3 linked regions of the Arabidopsis thaliana genome follow. The protein of the gene in region 3 interacts with the protein of the main gene of each other region in a pairwise test. Each region holds a gene or a part of one and is shown on either strand. Other genes may lie near its edges. The genes, in order: LSU2, AT1G51580 and VAR3.

What was found.
Region 1: the proteins of VAR3 (region 3) and LSU2 interact in a two-hybrid assay, tested with the Arabidopsis thaliana proteins (one large-scale study listed by BioGRID).
Region 2: the proteins of VAR3 (region 3) and AT1G51580 interact in a two-hybrid assay, tested with the Arabidopsis thaliana proteins (one large-scale study listed by BioGRID).

Annotation. Positions count from the first base shown.
Region 1 is NC_003076.8:8,442,655-8,446,134, forward strand, and holds LSU2 (response to low sulfur 2), read right to left. Parts: upstream 1,448-3,480; 5' UTR 1,103-1,447; coding exon 818-1,102; 3' UTR 625-817; downstream 1-624. UniProt on the Arabidopsis thaliana protein: May be involved in defense responses monitoring. Probably implicated into osmotic stress signaling.
Region 2 is NC_003070.9:19,123,573-19,127,329, forward strand, and holds the start of AT1G51580 (RNA-binding KH domain-containing protein), read left to right. Parts: upstream 1-2,010; 5' UTR 2,011-2,039; coding exon 2,040-2,642; intron 2,643-2,723; coding exon 2,724-3,107; intron 3,108-3,183; coding exon 3,184-3,435; intron 3,436-3,523; coding exon 3,524-3,737; intron 3,738-3,757. Other genes in the region: AT1G51570 (Calcium-dependent lipid-binding (CaLB domain) plant phosphoribosyltransferase family protein), read right to left, coding at 1-1,116.
Region 3 is NC_003076.8:5,871,047-5,874,803, reverse strand, and holds the start of VAR3 (zinc finger (Ran-binding) family protein), read left to right. Parts: upstream 1-2,021; 5' UTR 2,022-2,132; coding exon 2,133-2,575; intron 2,576-2,656; coding exon 2,657-2,783; intron 2,784-2,901; coding exon 2,902-3,182; intron 3,183-3,469; coding exon 3,470-3,568; intron 3,569-3,667; coding exon 3,668-3,757. UniProt on the Arabidopsis thaliana protein: Probable component of some protein complex required for chloroplast and palisade cell development. Involved in C-to-U editing of chloroplastic RNA. Controls a large number of chloroplastic editing sites.

The sequences.
Region 1 (3,480 bases), 2.6 Mb from region 3:
ATCCGTTTTATATGGTTAGAAAGAAATACAAGATAACTATTATCATTCTCATAATTCAAAGAGATCTCCTCTCGGATCATCAGTTTCCAAGTCTCTCCAAAGACAATTCTAGTTATACTTCAAAAAAAAAAACATTATAAATATTTGTTTGTTTTAATTGCATCACAATTTATGAAAAATTAAAGGGTTTTGGTTAACAAAAAAAAAAGACTAGACTTGTTTGCCCACGTCAGGTCACCTGGTTCTGTCAGAAACTAGATTTGTTCAAAAACAAACCCTTTGTTTATATTTGTACATAGTACACTGGCGTTGGATCCGTATATTCGTTTCCCTTTTTTCTCCCAAAAGCAAACCAAGTTCTCCAATTTTACTATGTCAAACTCTAGAAAGACCAAAACCACTGTTGCAATGTCAATGATTCAGTAGAATTCAAACACTTCTTCATATAATACGCAAAAATCTAAAAGCAAAATCTTTATTTGTAATTTGGTCATTTCACATATAATAATAGGAAACATGACCATAATTGCTTTAAATTTTCTTTCTGTTAAAGTAATTTACACGTCTTACAAACAAAATTCCATTTTAGTCAAACCAAACATCGAATATCATTTACTTTAAATTGTTTTCAAGACTTTTCATTCATCATTAATCGCAAAAATCAATCGGTAACAACATCGATTTTTTTTTTTGATTGAAACTTCCATATTTGTTTTAAAGACAACTCTACATATTGGCATTGATATGAGCCGATAAGAGGATACATCAAACAATCTAAAAAACCTATCTTTCTTTAAAAGCAAATATCTATCTAATTCTACGGAGAGGCAGAGGCAGAGTCTGAAGAAAGACGAGAGAGCTCGTTCATGAGAAAGATGATACGAGAGTGGTAATCACGAGCCTGGTCTAAAGATTCTGCTTCAAGCTCGGCTAGCTGTGAGCAGAGACGCTCCTCCGCTTCTTCCGCCACCTGTGTCCGCCGCCACAACTGCAACATCTCTTTCTTCATCTCCTCCACAGCTTTCTCCATCTCTCCGTTCTTCCGTCGTAGCTCGTCCACTTCGGAAGCCGCCACCGTCACATAGTTTCCTCCTTTCCCCATTTTTAAGAACTTTTAAAGGTTTTCTAAAGATTTCTCCTTTTGGTTATTTTGGTCACTTTGAGTTTTTTTGTGTTTTGTTTTGGTTCTTGAACGTTCCTTATTAATAGGCGTCTTTGAGACTGGGGTTTGGGTGGGTTTTATGTCTAGGTTCAATGTATCTATATCTCTTCTTCTTCTTTCTTATTTCTGGTGAGTTATTTTCTTCCTCTAGATTCTAGAACATTTTCTCTTTTAAATTATTTTCGATATACACGTTGGGTCCAATTAATATTTTGGAATATTTTAGTGGTACCATATAATTGTTTTATTGGTTAGAGACAAATTTGTTTTTAGAGGAGACACGAGATAAGTTATAATAAAAATTTATCAATCAATATAGTAAAATGTATTGGTTCAGTCATAATAACTCTTGTCATTTCAATAATACATATGGCAACGGATTTAAAATGAAAAATATTTGTTTAAACTGATATTTTTTTTTTAAAATGGAGTATTTGCTTTCTAAGAATGAATAAATTTCTTTGTCTAATTGAATAAAGTGGATTAAAACATATTTTGGACCATTTTACTTTGATCTAATTGCTATACATATAAAGTAATGAATATTTCATATTTACTGGACCATAAATACTAGTAATTCAATCTATTTATACAAGTCTAAACTGTAGCTCGTAAGTAAAAGTAATGAACAATTCTTACATTATAGCCCCAATGAGCTGTCAATTTCATCAAAGACAACTATATGTTAATAGATCATAATAATACATCGTCTTAATAATGGTCCTAAACTCAGGAATAAGTTGTGCAAATATGTTTTCATATACGCATGTAAAGAAAAGATTGTGACTATTATTGAAATAACATGAGTTATATTTATATCCACCAACTCTTTATCCTCAAAGAGGATATATATATCCGCTGTATTATGCTAACATTACCATTCTTGCACTTGAAAAATGACTTTAATTAATTGAACATTTTATTACCATGAATTGAACAAAATTTCTGAAAATTGCTTCTGAAGCATCCAATTTTCAAGATTTTATATATTCATTCTAAAAACTTAATTCAATAAACTCATGTAACAACAAACTAATCGTTGAATATATTTTCTTCTCGAGAACGTTGACTGGACACTAAAAGAATGAAAGAGTAGTACTATTTGAATTTTCAATGAAACCCCACTTATTTCAAAGGGGAACTTCTTTTTTTTCTTTTTTCTTTCTTTTCTGTTTTGCTATTTCATAGAATATAGAGAAAATAATTGTTTTCCACTATTTCTCTTAATTGCTAAAAGGCATGTAGAAATCATTTTCTCACCTTTATATTTTCCACTAATATATTCCGCCAATTATAGCCATTAATTAACTTGGAGCAAAGCCTTTGTCGATGTAACCCACATTCCCACTTCTTTCTCTTAACTGGAGTATTGGACAATATCTCCCAAAGTCAAGGGCTGTCACGATTATACAGCTATTCTTGTATAGTTAAAGTTACGGCTACGATTCATAGTTCTTAAATTACTTATTAGCTATTTCTTTAGTATCTTTATTGGTGTGTATGGGGAAAACTAAGAAGACTTTGGTTATGAATGGTGTCATGAAGCATAATAAAATAATACGGTGCGGTTTGATTTTACTCTTGGTCATGTTTTTGTGAATCATATTTGGACAACACACCAACCTCAAGAAGTAGGGTGATTCAAGTATAAACTGAAAAATCATAAGCGTTAAATACCGATTAATACAATCATATATATATTTCGAAACTTCAAAACATTAGTCAAAATTTGATAACTCATTTATCCGTTACTCGCACCAAACTAATTAAGATATCTATTCAGCTTTTGTTCTATTCGTTCTACACCATTTATTCTTTACAAACTACATCTGTTATGCTTTATTTGTCTGTTCGTTTTGTTCTATACGTCACCTTATGATGTGTATCTTCGTTTTCCTAGCAAAGGTTGGTCCAAAAAAATTGATGGCCCGAATCAATATTGTTTTTTTCTCTCTTTTTAGCTATAATTCAAAATCTTAAACAATATTGGTTATAAAATTATGTAAAGTTGTGTTAAATATATTGGAAAACACAGAGGGACCGGTCACCAACTGTTGAAATCTTTAGTTGGAATATGCTCTATGGATGCTGATCAGTGACCACTATCTAATTGACTAAAAAAATAATCATCATTCATCCAAAATATCCTAAATAGATTTTAAAACACCCAATTACATCAGCAACTATATATGTTACGTGAGCAACAGCGCTATACATGTAGAAAATAATTTCCAGTTTTTATAACATTACAAGATCACCATAAAAAGTACGGATGTTAAAATGGGCTAAACATTTAGAGTCGGCCCAGGTCCGCTAAA
Region 2 (3,757 bases), on a different chromosome or scaffold from region 3:
CGCATTTAAGACCCCTAGCTCAAGCACACCGATGTTAGGCTTCCACAGTTGCTTTGCAGTTGGTCTTAGGTCACTACTGTAATGTGTAGACTCATCAAGCACATGATACCCTCCTTCCAAACAAATCCTCATGTGGATCTTGCTGGCGAATTTGATCTCTTTCTTCTCTCCTCCTTCCATTATAACATGCTTCTCAAGGTTAAACCACCTGCTGTTCACCGGTCTATAGTCAAACCTTTTGTCCAAATACTGCAACGGAACCGCGCATCTCCCCAAGACTTCATCTTTATTCGGCGCAACTCTATCTTCCACACTTAGAATCAAAGGCTCTTCAAACGGCTCAGCTACAACAAACATCAAATCCTCATTCCACATCGGATTAATACTCCTGCTTTGTGACACTCTAGTCCTCAATGCCTGATTTCCCATTATCACTTTCACAAAGACTTCAGGATATCTCCCTTTATCGCTCGGTATCAAATCCTGAGCTTCAATGACATTAACCCTAAGATACCAAAGCTTAGGAGAGAGATAAACCTTAGATCTGATGTTAGCTAAAGCATCAGTTCCACTAACAGTTGCAGCATCAGAGTGCCAAGCTTCAGGAAAAGCTTCATCAGCTTGAGTACCAAACCAAACAGCTAACATAAGCTCTCCTTTAACTTTTTGGCCTTTCCCATCTTCTAATCTATACCATTGTGGAGCTAAAGGACTATCAGGAGGAACTCTCTTAGGTATCTCATTCAAATCAAACACAACACGACCAATCAAATCATCTTTAACTAAATCTTTATCCTTGACAGTAGCTTCAAGATAAGAAGCTTGTACCCTATCTTTAGAAAAGGCGAAAACTTGGTTCCACTCAGGATTAGATTTCTTCTCGAAATGTCTAGTGGTTCCTCTGTAGTTACCAAGCTTAACTTCAACGTAAGGGTCACAACTACCAGTTAAGTCTTTACCTGGTAATTCTTTAGCCTTTACGACACGAACATAGAGATACTGCATTTGCTCGACGAGGTCATATGTGGTTGTGAGCTTATCTCCGGTGACTTTGCCTCCACCGAGATGAGGTTTTGTCTCCTTTAAGGAGAAATCTTCAGGAGGTGGTCTCTGCATCTTTGAAACTAGTAAAGTTTGGATTTTTTCTTCTTTCAGAAACACTAGATCTATAAGTTAGATCTTCAAAACAAACAAACAACCCCAGAAAACGATTTACACCAGAAATCTCAGAATCTGCTTAACATTAAACCCCCAAAAAAAGAAAGAAGTAAAGAAGAATCCTTTCTTCTTCTTCCTCGTAAAATCAGAAGATAAGCATTGAGAGAGTTTTAGAAAGAGATAGAGAGAAAGGACTGTAGTGAGAGAAAAGTAAAACACATTGAAGTAGAGTGGTGAAGGTTTTCTTGTCTTCTTCTTCCTTTTGCTTTTTTTTTTTTTGCTCTTTTCGATTTTTGTTTTAAATTCAAAATGATTTTATGAGTTGGCAGAAAGAAAAAAAAAAAGGCCAATAAGTGAAAAACATTTTCTTCATAATCATGAAATTTGATTTGAAAAGGACTACACAATATAAATTTTTATTTCTTTCTCTCCTTTTTTAAGTACGAAAATATGAATAGAACTTTTATTTCAAATAATACTCAAAAGTCTCACATACTATGGCAATTCTCAAAAATACCTAAATTGAGTATTATTGTTCCACAAATACTGTCACTAGTTTTTTTCTCAAAACATACCACAAAACAAAAACTAGATTTTAAACTTTCAAAACTAAATCCTAAACCGTAAAAATAAACTCTAAATCCTAACAACAAATTCTAAACTCAAAAGTTTAAATTATAAACCTTGAAAAATTAATTTTGGTGTTTGTAATAAATTTGGAACAAAATTTTTGTTGTAGTATTTTCGAAAAAATAAACTCATTAAAATATTTTTGGAAAAGAGAAAAAACATAGTTTAGTGGTATTTTATAAAACAGATTTTAAAACATTTAAGAGCCTTTGAGTTAAACTCAAAACGACGTTGTTAAGCTTATTCGACTAATGGAGTTCTCTACCTCAAAACGTCCGGCGACGACAGCGACGGCGGCGGAGTCTGTACATTTCCGTCTTCTCTGTCCGGCAACAAGAACTGGTGCAATAATCGGAAAAGGCGGCTCAGTCATTCGACACCTCCAATCTGTAACCGGTTCAAAAATCCGCGTCATCGATGATATTCCCGTTCCTTCAGAAGAGCGTGTAGTGTTGATAATCGCACCTAGTGGAAAGAAGAAGGACGAATCGAATGTGTGTGATTCCGAAAACCCTGGCTCTGAAGAGCCTAAGCAAGAGAAAGGGAGCGAGTGTGCGGGGACTAGTGGTGGAGATGACGAGGAAGCGCCGTCGTCGGCGCAGATGGCTTTACTTAGGGTTTTCGAAAGAATAGTGTTTGGCGATGACGCTGCTACGGTTGATGGTGATGAATTGGATAAAGGTGAGAGTGAAGGTTTGTGTAGGATGATTGTTAGAGGTAATCAAGTAGATTACTTGATGAGTAAAGGAGGGAAGATGATTCAGAAGATTAGAGAAGATAGTGGAGCTATTGTTAGGATCTCATCTACTGATCAGATTCCTCCTTGTGCTTTCCCTGGAGATGTTGTGATTCAGGTATACACAGCTTCTTGTGTCTTTGTGGCTATTCAATTTATAGAGCTTTTTTGGCTGATTTAGTAATGTTTTTGTATGAAGATGAATGGAAAGTTTTCGAGTGTGAAGAAGGCGCTTTTGTTGGTTACAAACTGTCTTCAAGAAAGTGGTGCACCTCCAACATGGGACGAGTGTCCGTTTCCGCAGCCTGGTTATCCGCCTGAGTATCATTCTATGGAGTATCATCCTCAATGGGATCATCCTCCTCCTAATCCAATGCCTGAAGATGTTGGACCCTTTAATAGACCGGTTGTTGAAGAGGAGGTTGCGTTCAGGTTGTTATGCCCGGCTGATAAAGTTGGAAGCTTGATTGGGAAAGGTGGAGCTGTGGTGCGAGCTCTGCAAAACGAAAGCGGTGCGTCAATCAAGGTTTCGGATCCAACTCATGATTCAGAGGAGCGGATTATTGTGATATCGGCACGAGAGGTATGTTGATTTGCTCCATGGATTTGGTTTATGTATATCATTGGATACTTTGTCTCATTGGTTTACATTGTTGTAGAACTTGGAGAGAAGGCACTCTCTTGCCCAAGATGGTGTGATGCGTGTGCATAATAGAATTGTTGAGATTGGATTTGAACCTAGTGCTGCTGTTGTTGCCCGGCTTCTTGTACATTCTCCATATATCGGACGTCTATTGGGTAAAGGGGGTCATTTGATAAGTGAAATGAGGAGAGCAACTGGTGCTAGCATCCGCGTCTTTGCGAAAGATCAAGCTACAAAGTATGAATCACAACATGATGAGATTGTTCAGGTAAATTTTATATAACATCCGCGGCCTCGATAAGTTTTTCAACTCTGTAGTTTTCTTGTTATTTGACACCTTTTTGCTGGATTGGCAGGTCATTGGTAATTTGAAAACTGTTCAAGATGCTTTGTTCCAAATATTATGTAGGCTTCGGGAAGCAATGTTTCCTGGAAGACTTCCTTTTCAAGGAATGGGTGGTCCACCTCCGCCGTTCATGGGTCCGTATCCAGAACCGCCTCCCCCATTTGGACCGAGACAATATCCAGCTTCTCCAGATCGTTACCATTCTCCAGTAGGACCATTCCATGGTATTTCATCAATTTCCGAC
Region 3 (3,757 bases):
TCGGGGGATAGATATTTTTTGTTTCGTTTGGGTTGCCATTTATTTTACAGCTATTTTATAAAAGTAATCGATTTTTAATGAGGGAGTTGTTTCATCAAATACTATCGACTGTATTTTAGGGGTTACATTTAAGATTATCAAAACTTCGACTTAAATTCAAACGTCTAATATAAAATTTTATGTGAAGTTGTTTAATGGTCCGATTAATAGCGCAAGACGGTAAGAGCTTTGTAACTGTACAAAATAGTGATAAAAATGGTGGTATGGTTGAATATGGTAAAAATGATAAGAGATGAAAAATGGTACGATAAGAAGTCGTTAGACCAAAAAACTAGCTGCATATTGAATTAGTTCGAATGAATAATAGGATTGCTTTTTCTACATAGTTCTGAGGTTACTTCTCTTTCGGTAGTTCGTGGATCCATCGGATCATGTTCGTCATTTGATAAAGTCGTCGGTGAATTTTACGAAATGGTTAGTGGTTATTGATCATTGTTTAACCACAATTTCTAACACTCTCACTTGTACGATTAAAGTTAATGGAATTGTGTTTTTCTTATCCTTTTAAAATTTGAGACAATCTTTCAATAGACCCAGAAAACAAAAGGTGGCGAGAAAAGGTAACTTCGAAACTCCAAGCGCTAAAATAATGTTCGGATAATCATGATTCATGAGATAAGTCACACTAATTACATTAACATAGAAAAAGTTTCTTTAAAACTTCTTGATTAGTTTTAAAGAAGACACTTTAACTAATTTGAGGAATTTAGGGCTTTATCTCATGATGTAATGACATAAAGTCTCTTTATTAAAATTGAATTTTAATTACAAATCATGTCAAAGTTGTTAGCCCGTCCATTGCACTTGTGGCATAGAACTAAACATGTCACATCAAAGTATAAATAGTAATTAATTATGATAAAATACATTTCTAGGGGAATTAATGAGGTTATACCTTACGGACTTAGATTGAAGTCATTATCAAGGCAGTTAATTGTCTACGTACTCACCAATATTTTACTCCACATAGATCTAAACAAAGAAATTAGTTATTACATTATAAATAGCTTAGTGTATGTAAAAGTGTTAATCAGAATAAACATTAGTCAAAAGTTGACGGCAGTGATCGGCAACTAATCCACACCCAACTTTAACTCACAGTGACTCCCACGTTCAAGAGAACACAAATATTATTCTCTCCTTTTTAGTTCCACTGATGTTTTAATTTTCGTTTCTTTCGTTTATATAAAACTATATTCATAACGTATTATTTTTTAGTTAATTTTTATTTCTTAGGTTTTATTATATATTGTAATTGTATAAGTTCTGAAACCAAGAAGTACTAATACATAATAAATATAACTATTTTAGATCCTTGACATAGCTTTTTTCTATAGTATATGTAAAAATAGTCTATATCATCTATTATTTTCGAAAGTTGTAAGTTGTAACATATAAACTTATTAATTTAAGAAAAACAAAAGTTAGAAATTAAATAACGTATGTGAATTGAAATCTCTAAACAAGTAAACATCACTTATTACGAACATATGTAGAAGTATAACTATAATCGAGGTTTGTTAAGTAAGTGAAAATTCAATAACGGAGAAATGTATGACTATAAATCTTTTAAAGTTATAGCGGCTTTAAGTCAAAAGAAATGTATGCATGCGTATGACATTGTACAATGTACACTTCAACTTTTCAAGTCACGAAAATTGATGTCAAATCGACGTGCAATTTGATAAATACCGAATCTGCAAACTCCTTTTTATATTGTATAAACTGAAGATTTCAACATAAAACTTACGCTTATCTTTAAAACATCTCTTAGATTAGATTACTATCAGTTCGTTACTTGGGTTAATTCCATTATTAGTACGAAACCATTTACTTTTTCTTTAAGAGACATCCCATTTGAATGAAATACATTATTTACCAAAGTTACCAAACATTCATAATGGCAAGCCCAAGTAGTAGCACACAGAATTATGGGCCTATGTTAGCCAATATGGGCTTATTTTTTTCTTCATTTTGCAATTATTTTGCGATTTATTAATCCTTTTTTTTTCCTTAAACATCACTGAAATAATTCTCGCCGGTAAAAATAAAACCAGTGACGACGAGCAACGATGAACAACTCCACCAGACTCATCTCCCTCTTCTCTCCTCATCCTCCTCCTCTCTTTCTACTCCGTGGTCTCTACATCAGCCGCATAGCCAATCTCCGCCGTTTCCACCGCCGTGCGTTTCCTCCTTCGTCCGTTGCCTCAACCAATCTATGTTCTTTCCGTCCACTCGTGTCATTGCCGCCGCTTATCCCCACGTTTCCTATAGGACGATTCTACAATCACCAAGTCCGTGTCTCCGCCGCAGATTTTGTTCCTTCTTATCACAACCAGCAGCTACCTGAATGGACAGAGCTACTCCAATCTCTCTCCAAAGCTGGTTACTTCTCAGATTCCGGTTCGATTTCTGGTTTAGAAAGTGAATTCTTTCCCGGTTTTCCTGATGAACTTCTCCGTCCAGCTCTTGCTTGCTTAGCTCTAGCTCGTGAACGACCAGAACTGCTTGAGTAAGTAATCTGCAATTTTTTCTCTTTCTCTTTTTGGATTGATTCTCAATCTGAATATCTGATGATGTTAGTGTTTATTAGAATGCTTTCGAGGAGAGACGTTGAAGTGCTGGTGGAGAATGGAAAGCCATTTTTATTCAAGACAGGTCCAGATTCACTTAAAAGGATGAGCCTTTACCTAAGAAGTGGTCTTCAGGGCATTGGTAAGGTAAGTTCTATCTTCTGGCAAATGCTTAGTCTTTTATTGGTGAATGCTAGGTTATGTCTAAACTTGGTTCAATGGTGATTTGTGCCTCAAAGTTATGATCTTTTGTGTTTTACATTAGTTGATGGATATGGAGAAGGCGAGTACAGTTGATTTGATGAGGCTTATTTTGAGTTATGTTGTGGATGTTGCTTCTTCTGAGGAGAGCAAACAACATAACAAAGAGATTATGGAGTCATCGGTTCGAAGCCTCTTGAGTCAGATAGCGAAGATGAGCTTGCGTCCTCCTGAGTCGAATGTTCATGACACGATGCAAAATCAGTACTCAGATAGAGATGGACAAGGAGTCAGGTCTTTTCAGAATAACGTTGAGATGAAACGTGGTGACTGGATTTGCTCGAGGTATGAATTTGTTGGATTCTCAGTAGCTTTTTGGTGTAAATCTCCTATGGCCTTTTGGTTACCATTCTTCTATGGAAAGATATAAGTAGGCCTAGATATAAGGATACCATAAAAAAAAATCTTCTGGATCTGAGCTTGAACAAGTATACTTCTGACTATTACACTAGTATTGTGGTCGAAAGATCTTATTTTTAGAGCTAAGAAGTCAGTATGGTGTAATTGTCTTTGTTTCATCATCTTGTCGTTTAGGGAATCTATATATATGATGTGGGAATTTGTTGAAACAGGTGCAGTGGCATGAACTTTGCGAGAAATGTCAAATGCTTCCAGTGTGATGAAGCAAGACCAAAGAGACAGCTTACTGGTAGTGAATGGGAGTGTCCTCAGTAAGAAACTGATTTTTTCTCTCTGCTACTTTATGACTAATGCGATGAGGAATGATGAGGTTAACCTTTCCTTTCTTTCTTGGTTGTTTCACTTATCAGATGTGATTTCTATAATTACGGGAGGAATGTAGCTTGCTTAAGATGTGACTGCAAGCGACCCAGGGACTCTTCACTCAATTCAGCCAACTC